Canis lupus familiaris: one gene and its partner. The protein of the gene in region 2 purifies or fractionates together with the protein of the main gene of each other region. This does not show direct contact. Links are inferred from orthologs where the notes say so. Each region holds a gene or a part of one and is shown on either strand. Other genes may lie near its edges.

Region 1 (4,270 bases), on a different chromosome or scaffold from region 2:
AAGGAACCGCGCTCTGGGGCATTTAAAACAGAGGGTTGTCTTTTATCAAGGACGGAGTTCTATCGCCCCACGGAGAAAAGAACATTGTCCAGAGGCTGCCGTTGGTGGAAACAGCAAACGGCGAAGAAACGGCTGGAGGAGGGAGAAGACTTCGCGAGCAGAGCCTAACGCAAGCCCTGGGAGGCCGATCCGAAGTCCTGCGCGCGGCCATGCACCCTGGGCCTCCGCCCACTTCCCCTCCCTCGCGGCGCCCTCTCGACCCCCTGGGACCCGCGGACGAAACCGAGCCCGCGGAGCCCCGATGCTCTCCCCCAGTAACTGTTGCAGAGGCGGGAGAACTTTTATTCCGTAGCCAGAGTTGCAGACGGACTCCCGAAGCACCCAGCCGGGCGGTGGAGGGGAGCCTCTGCAACTGCAGCCCCCAAAGCGGACTGCGGCGGGGGCGGGCGCGAAGCCAGCGGCACCTCCGCGCCCCGGGGCCCCGCGGGGCAGCGCGGTCCCACCCCCAGCCCGGCGCGCCCTCGCCCGACCCGGCCCTCGGGCGCGCGCCTGCGCCTGCGCTTGCGCAAAACGCCCCCGCCCCAGCGCCTCTCCAGGTGCGCTCGCGCTTCCGGCCGGCCTTCCCGAGGCGGAAACACCAGAGCCCGCGCATGCGCCTTCCAGCTCTCCTGCTAGGTCCGGGGAGGGGGGCCCAAGGCTTCAGGTGATCCCGCCCCTCCCTCGCAGCGCGGGACCAATCGCGAGGCGGTAGGCGGGATTTTCGCGGAGGCGGCCCGCCCACACGCTCGCGAGGCGGGTTTCGATTGGCTGGCGGCGCGGGCGCAGGTGCGCGCTTCCTATTGGGTGTGGGCGGAGCGCGAGCCGCCGAGGCTTCTGCCGAGGCTGCAGGTGAGCGCGCGCGCGCCGCGGCTCCCTCCCGGGCTCGGGTGCGCGCGCGCGGGCCGGCGGGGGAGGCGGCCGGGAGCGAGCTCGCGGCGCCCGTCGCCTGTGCTCCGCCCCCTCCGCCGTCGCGGCCGCCGCCGAGGCCCGGAGGGAGGGAGTCGCGTCCCCGCCCGCCGCGCAGCCAGTCGGACCCTCGGTGCCGCCGCGAGCAGCCGGCCGAGCGGAGCTCCGCGCCCAGAAGCCGAGTCGCGGCCGCCGCTCTGCAGGTGCCGGTGCGGAGGCGCCCGGGCCGCAGCCGCGTCCCCGGCCCCGGCCCCGTCCCGCCGGCCGCGACTCCCCGCGCTCCCGAGGGGCGGCCCGGCCGCAGGAGGCCGCCGCGGGGCCCGGCCTCAGCATGAACCGCAGCCACCGGCACGGGGCGGGCAGCGGCTGCCTGGGCACCATGGAGGTGAAGAGCAAGGTGCGCGGGCCCGGGGCCGGCGGGGGCGGGGGCGGGGGGCCGGGGCTGCCCGCTGGCTGCGGCCGCGGGGCGTGCGGGGCTGCCCGGTGCACTCGCCGAGAAGCGGGCGAGGGTGGGGCCTTGCGTTTGCTCCCGGCCCAGGTGGGAAGGCCCGCGGAGCCCTTGCCCTCCTGGGGTCTCAGCCCGGGGCGGGGATGGCAGGCGTCTGAGCGCAGTGTGGGCGAAGGCTTGGGGACGTTGTAGCTCCCGGCCTGTGAGTAGCAGGTATTGGAAACACGCGCGGTCACAAAATGTTACCCCTTCCCGTGGTCCAGGGGTGCATCGAGCGGTGAGACGGCGAGCCCAGGGCCCTGAAGAGCCCTTTGAAAGTTGGCTTTGCTTCCTGCTAGGGATTTTTCCAGCACTCCCTTTGGTATGCGTCCTATTTATAAGAATTAACACTATCACCTTTCGTTTGAGTAGCCCTTTACAGTTTGAGGCTGGATGCTCTCTTCATTCCATCGTGCTGCCTTTTCACATCAAGTGTTTTCCTTCCTGACCGACGGTATGCCAGCCTGCTGAAAATTCCGTCCATATCCACTGAATTCCTAAATTGCAAGGCTCCCCGAGCAGGGGAGTCTGTAGGGATTAGTTAGAGAATGCTTTCCAAAGGGGGTTTCGAGCTGGAATTTGAAGGTGATCGGCAACCACAGCAGCATTTTCAGCAAGCATTTTGTGAGTTGAAGAGCCAAAGGAGCTCAGATAATCTAGTTTGATTCTCTTGAGAAAACGGAGGGGTCAGAAAGGTTATGACTTCGCCAGGCTCTGCTTTTATGACAAAACCTGGAAGGCTTTTTACAGATAACTTCTAGACTCTGTAGAACAAACGTGTTTTTGAGAACATTAAAAACAGTTAACAAAACCAAGACACAAGAATGGGAGAACAGTACGAGCAGATCAGCTTCAAAAATAACGAAACACCATTGAGTGTAAGACTACAGAGGGCAAATCCAAAATCAGGGAGTGGTTTTGAGTGAAGTGGAGTAAGAAAAGCTCCCCGGAGCCTGGGGGTGGAATGGTTTTATCTAGAGCTGATAAGCAAAGTTCTGTGAGTTGCTGGGAACTGAGATCTTCACATCAAGAGTATCTACATTCATTTTAAACATCGTTTGAAAATGTTATTTGTGACCTCTGGAGCAGGATAGGCAAGTGGGTTCACAGAAACCGTTCTGCTTAATAAGAATAGAAATGTAATTATAGCAATTTAAGGACTGTGTTTTTTCTTTCCTGTGCCCTGCACAGAATCACTAGAGCAAATTGAAGGGACATGGCTTGAGCTAAGGGTTAAGATGACTCCAAATATACAGGATTTTTCCTCGAGCGGTATAGCAGCGGTAGTGGTTCTGTGCCCACTGGTTGAACTTTCTCAGGCATTTCTGCCATAAATCTAGTTTGCGTCTGTGGGGGTTGAGGTTAAGAAAAGAAAAACACTTATGATATTGCATAATCTTAAAATTCAGTTTGTGGTCCTAATCTTGGTAACAAGTCTTGAACTTTTTATCGTAGGAAAAAAATGAGTAGAGAGTCTAGGTGCACCGATAAATACAATCAAATGGTAATTTATCTCCTGGACTAGAAACCTGGAGCACTTTTGGGACTGGAATTTCAGGCTTTCTGCCCTTTCTCTTCTCTCAACTGACCTGTGAATCTTTCCCACACTTACATCTGTACTACACGTTGTATATTTGAGCTGCCATGCTGCACTCGTAGTGAACCATGTCTCTTAAATAGAATCGAGGCATTCTGAGGACCTGCACCAAATGAGGTGTGGTTCCTCTTGTTGTTCTAGATCTTGCTGAATAGACACAATATTAGGTACTGTTTTTAGCATCTGTGACACTGTTTTAAATAGATATTGTTGAGACATTTATTTTTAGTGGATTAAATGAAACACTTGTCATCTTTATCATTTAAAAAGTATTTAGACAGATGTTTGAAACAATATTTCTCTTTGTCCCTGCCTTGGTGATATCACAGCTTTTTTCAAAACTGATTGTCGGGAAGTTGTAACCACAGCCAGGTAACGTGCAGATCCACATTTCAAGATCTCTTTTTCTTCTGCATAGAAAACAGTGTCAACTGTATCATCTGAGCAGAGCTGGGGAAGTTCTTAATAATGAAGGTGATATCCCTCAGTAACCTTGGAACAGTCTTTGGGCCGTACATTTTCTACTTATTATTCATGGGCAAACAGCATTAAAATTAACTTTGCATTTCTCGAATGTACCAACAGATGCTGGGAGAAGGCCACATCCTGGGTGGCCAGGACAAACTAGATTGGCCTAAAGAGTTATAAATGGTTCATGTAGTGAAAAGTTGTTGACTCGGTCTTAATTTTATGTCTGTCTTAGTATTTTTCTTCATGTAGTAAAACGTTCTCTTAATCCTATTGTTTCTCTGCAAGAAGCATAACAGTTTCTCTTGTTTGGTTTTGTTTTCTGCTAACATTTGCAAAAGGGCACATCTGCTATGAAGCCATACAGTTTTTCATTGTTTTTATCATAACCTATAAGGAAGAGAAATACATGTTGAGCAAAGGATTTTCACCCAAAAGCTTTAACAAAGACGCTGGAGCCCTGCGATGTTCAATTGTTAGATGTTAACTTTCATTCACGTACCTGGAGAAGTGATAAACCCTGGCATGAATCAGAAAGCACTAGGAGCTTTGCATTGTGATACCAGAATAAAGAACATGGAGGAGAAACTGACTTTTGATAACATCATAAGACTAGCTCTGATATGAAGGGTGTTGCCGAGTTTTTATTTACTTTGAAACATGAAGGTGTGACTAAACTTTTTGAGAGTTTTAGGTATGAGTCACCTTGTGTTCTTGACAAATGTTGATGTTTATTTTCAGGAATGTGTTTTGGAAACTTTTATTTATTAGAA
Region 2 (3,804 bases):
CCCAACTTGATTACAGGGGTCTGTCACACAGCCCTAACTCCTGCCCCCGCTATCAGGTGCCATCTCCAGTTCACTGACCAACTGGGAACCACCTTCACCCTGTAGATGTGCTCTAGCGGCCACGGCCCACACCTAAGGATGCTTCCCACCTTGCGGCCAGACATGGAGCCCTTGGGCCTGGGCTGAAATGACCTGAGGCCTGATGCTGTCCGGCCAGCTTTCCCTGTGTGAGCTGAAACTTGGGGTAGGTCCTTCAATGCAGAATCAGAACTGAATGTGAGGGAGCCATTAGTCAGTGCTGTGTGTGCCCTTGATAAACTGACAGCCATAGTAACAACCGTCAGGGGGAGCCAAACCCCAGGGAAGAGTCAGCAACTCATCATGCCACCTGGACCCATGACAGGCAGCCACCTGGGAAGCTGCACCCCATCAGCCTTTTTGCAGGGACAGTGGACCAAGGTAAAGGCCTAGGGCTACCAAGTCTGGCTGGTGAGAAGATCCACTGGACAGAGGATCCCCAAGATACAAATAAACCAGGAGGAGGGTGTGCCCCTCTCAGACTCAGGGACTGGAAGTTGTTGTCTCAGTGAGGTCAAGGGCCGCCTGACTAGATGCTGACCCGACATCTACTATAAAAAGGCATTTAAAAAAAATTTTTTTTTAAAGATTTTTATTTATTTATTCATAGAGACACACACAGAGGCAGAGACACAGGCAGAGGGAGAAGCAGGCTCCATGCAGGGAACCTGATGTGGGACTCAATCCCGGGTCTCCAGGATCATACCCCAGGCTGCAGGCGGTGCTAAACCACTGCGCCACCAGGGCTGCCCTAAAAAGGCATTTTTGAGACAAATGGAGAAAGCCAAAGTGGACCAAGCGGGACTGGGATCAGCATTGGTTCCACGAGGTACGATGTGGGTGCCCTGGCTGTGGATTATGCCTGTTGGACACACACTCAAGTCCTCACTCAAAGGTTTTCATTTAAAATACTCCAGCAAGGGATGCCTGGGTGGCTCAGTGATTGAGCATGTGCCTTCGGCTTAGGGTGTGAACCCAGGGTCCTGAGATCGAGTCCCGCAGGGAGCTTGTTTCTCCCTCTGCCTGTGTCTCTGCCTCTCTCTCTGTGTCTCTCATGAATAAATAAATAAAATCTATACAACACTCCAGCAAGATAGACAATGGAGCATGAGGTGGGGATGGTGTGACAGCAGCAGATGGCTGGGGGCATCAGGCCGGATGTGCAGGGTGACGGACTCCTATTTTTGAGTATGGCTGAAATTCTGTTACACAAGTTAAAAACTGATCAGCGAATCAGTCCATAAACCAGGCCACAGCAGTCTATAGAGGACCTTGTGGAGGCTCCCAGCCATCAGGGGCAGAGCCGGTTCCTCAGTGAGGCTGACCCTCGCATGCCCCTCCCTCAGATCTTGGGCTCCCTCTCCCTCTTCAGATCTCAGAGGCCCACCAGGCTCCCTCACCAGCCCCATACACATGGGAATTCTGGGGGCCGGGGACTATTTGGGGAGCCAGTTCAGTGTGGCATGTGGTAGGCTTCCCTACCCTCCCATAAGGCCTGGTCCCACCCCCTCCCCGTATCTCCTAGATGGCCAACCAAGGCTCATCTCCCCAGTGCATCCTCCCCATCTCACCATCTCGAAGAAACGTGTCAGCGAAGTAGAGGCAGCGGACGACGCCAGAGAGGGAGTCGTCGGCGGAGCGGGGCTCAATGCGGCGCTGCACTGGGGTCATCTCCACATCGTGGGGGCAGGCCTGCTCAGCCAGCTGCGCATTGGCCTCCTGCAACTGGAGAGGCAGTGGCCTCCAGGACGCCGCCTTCCCAACACCTTGCCTGCGCCCACGCAACCTGGTGCCCAGCAGCCCGGCACCCTCTTGATCAGCCTGGCCAGAGCAACTATGGGGAGTGGACACCAGGCTTGGGGCCAAGGCCGGGGCCGGTGCCCAACTCTGTTGCTCTGCCCAGCCCTGAGAGGTAGACAGGCGGCACCCAGGGCAGGCTGGCCCCAGCTCACCTTGCTGGTGGCACTAGTGGCCCGCTTCTTGCCCGAGACTCGGCTCTTGCGGATGCGCCGGAAAGACTGGCGCAAAGACTTCTTGAGGGACTTCACCCGAGACAGTGGCCCCTCCATGGCCAGGGAGTCGTTGGGGTGTAGTGTGCACCTGTGGGCAGGAAGGTACCAGCTGGGCCACAGAGCAGACTCCTGGAGCAGCCACTGTGCTCCTGTTGGCCCCATGGGTCAGGAACTAGAGGTCCTGTGTGGCTGTCCTGCAACCCAGCAGCTTGGCAGGGGTGGGGTGGGGGAGGGGTTTAAAACTCTACCAGTGACACTTCCCATAAGGACGGAGCTGCCAAAGGGGAAGGGGGCTTCAGGTCACCCTATCTACCATATGAGAGCTTAGAAGGGGAGATCGAGGCCCCAACAGTTGCAGGGAAACACCAGGGTTCCCACAGGAGGCTGGGCCCGTCCCCCACACACCTGGCCAGCACAGGGCTCCTGCGCTGATAGTCAAAGAGGCCAAAGCCGTGACTGGTGCCAAAGGCCACGAGGCTCCACTCGGCATGGAGCGTGACGGCTGTCACAGCAGCCGGTGGCAGGCACTGAACCAGCACCCGGGGCTGGAAGCCAGCAGGCCACGGCAGCGGCCCCGTGCGTGGACTCAGCCGCTCATGGCCCTTCCACGTGAAGCCCTCTCGGTCCTGGAGGAGGTCCACACTGGCCACGCTGACTGCCTGCTCCGATGGCACATCACTTAGCTCCAGCACCAGCACCTGAGCCCACGGTGGGGTGGGGTAGGGGCAGGGTCAGCAAGGAGGATGATGGTATTAGACCACCCAGGCCCTACCTCATACTGCAAAGTCCTTGCCAGGGTGGTCCCAGTACGGTCTCCAGTTCATCTGCTTAAAAAGCACTTATTGGCTGCCTACTGTATACTAGGGTCTTCACTAAGCCCTGGGAAACACGGTGACCAAGACCCACTGCTTTGCCGTCTAGCAGCAAAATATGCCCCCTACCCCCATGCCTGTCTTCATTTAGTAATAAGCAGACACTGAGCACCTCCTGTATAATGCACAAGTGCCAGTGGCACAGCAGTAACCAAGGCCCATTGGCCTCTGAAGCAAAGGATTCCCCGTTAGCCTGTCTTACAACTAACGATGAGTCCCTACTGAGCACCTATGTACCGTGTGAGTGCTGGAAGCATAGCAGTGACCCCACTTCCCCAAAGCTCACCTAATACTTGAGCTCTCAACTACAGCCCCAACCCTCCATGGTTCCCCAACAACCAGAATCTAGCCCTCAAGACCCCCTAGTAGGTTCCACCTCCCTGGCTGACCTCACCCCAGCCATCCCCACCTGGAGCCCCATTTCCATCTCTGGGCTTTTGGCCATGATGGTCCCCCTCCTGCTCCACCAGACCATCTGGGTCAGGCCCACTTCCTCCACAAAGCCCTCTGAGACCCCAACCTGGATGACACCTCCACCTTACCTGGCCTGCAGTGCCAGCTACCACCATCTGGGCCGTGTACTTGCAGAGTGCCACCTTCTGCACCCCAAGCCGAGGATCGTCACTATAGGGGTCGAAGCAGCCCACCTGGGGGGCGGGATGGGGAGATGACACGGGGCAGAGCTGGGGCCAGACTCCCCAGGGCTGGGGGAGGGGCCCACCTTGCGAAAGGGCGGCCAGTCATCCTCGGTGGCCTGGGCCAGGCTGTCGGCGTGCTCGCAATCTGTCTGGAAGAGGCCAGCTGTGCTTAACTTGTAGAGTGGCCGCAGTGCCACACCTGAG

Evidence for each region.
Region 1: the proteins of LLGL1 (region 2) and PARD6B purify together in Homo sapiens (affinity purification with mass spectrometry; 5 studies listed by BioGRID and IntAct, counting the BioPlex papers as one, with this or other methods). This does not show direct contact. The link is inferred for Canis lupus familiaris from reciprocal best matches to the Homo sapiens genes LLGL1 and PARD6B.

The regions. Positions count from the first base shown.
Region 1 is NC_049245.1:37,729,266-37,733,535, forward strand, and holds the start of PARD6B (partitioning defective 6 homolog beta), read left to right. Parts: upstream 1-1,214; 5' UTR 1,215-1,276; coding exon 1,277-1,342; intron 1,343-4,270. UniProt on the Homo sapiens protein: Adapter protein involved in asymmetrical cell division and cell polarization processes. Probably involved in formation of epithelial tight junctions.
Region 2 is NC_049226.1:41,532,691-41,536,494, forward strand, and holds part of LLGL1 (lethal(2) giant larvae protein homolog 1), read right to left. Parts: coding exon 3,684-3,804; intron 3,610-3,683; coding exon 3,505-3,609; intron 2,789-3,504; coding exon 2,496-2,788; intron 2,179-2,495; coding exon 2,031-2,178; intron 1,804-2,030; coding exon 1,650-1,803; intron 1-1,649. UniProt on the Homo sapiens protein: Cortical cytoskeleton protein found in a complex involved in maintaining cell polarity and epithelial integrity. Involved in the regulation of mitotic spindle orientation, proliferation, differentiation and tissue organization of neuroepithelial cells.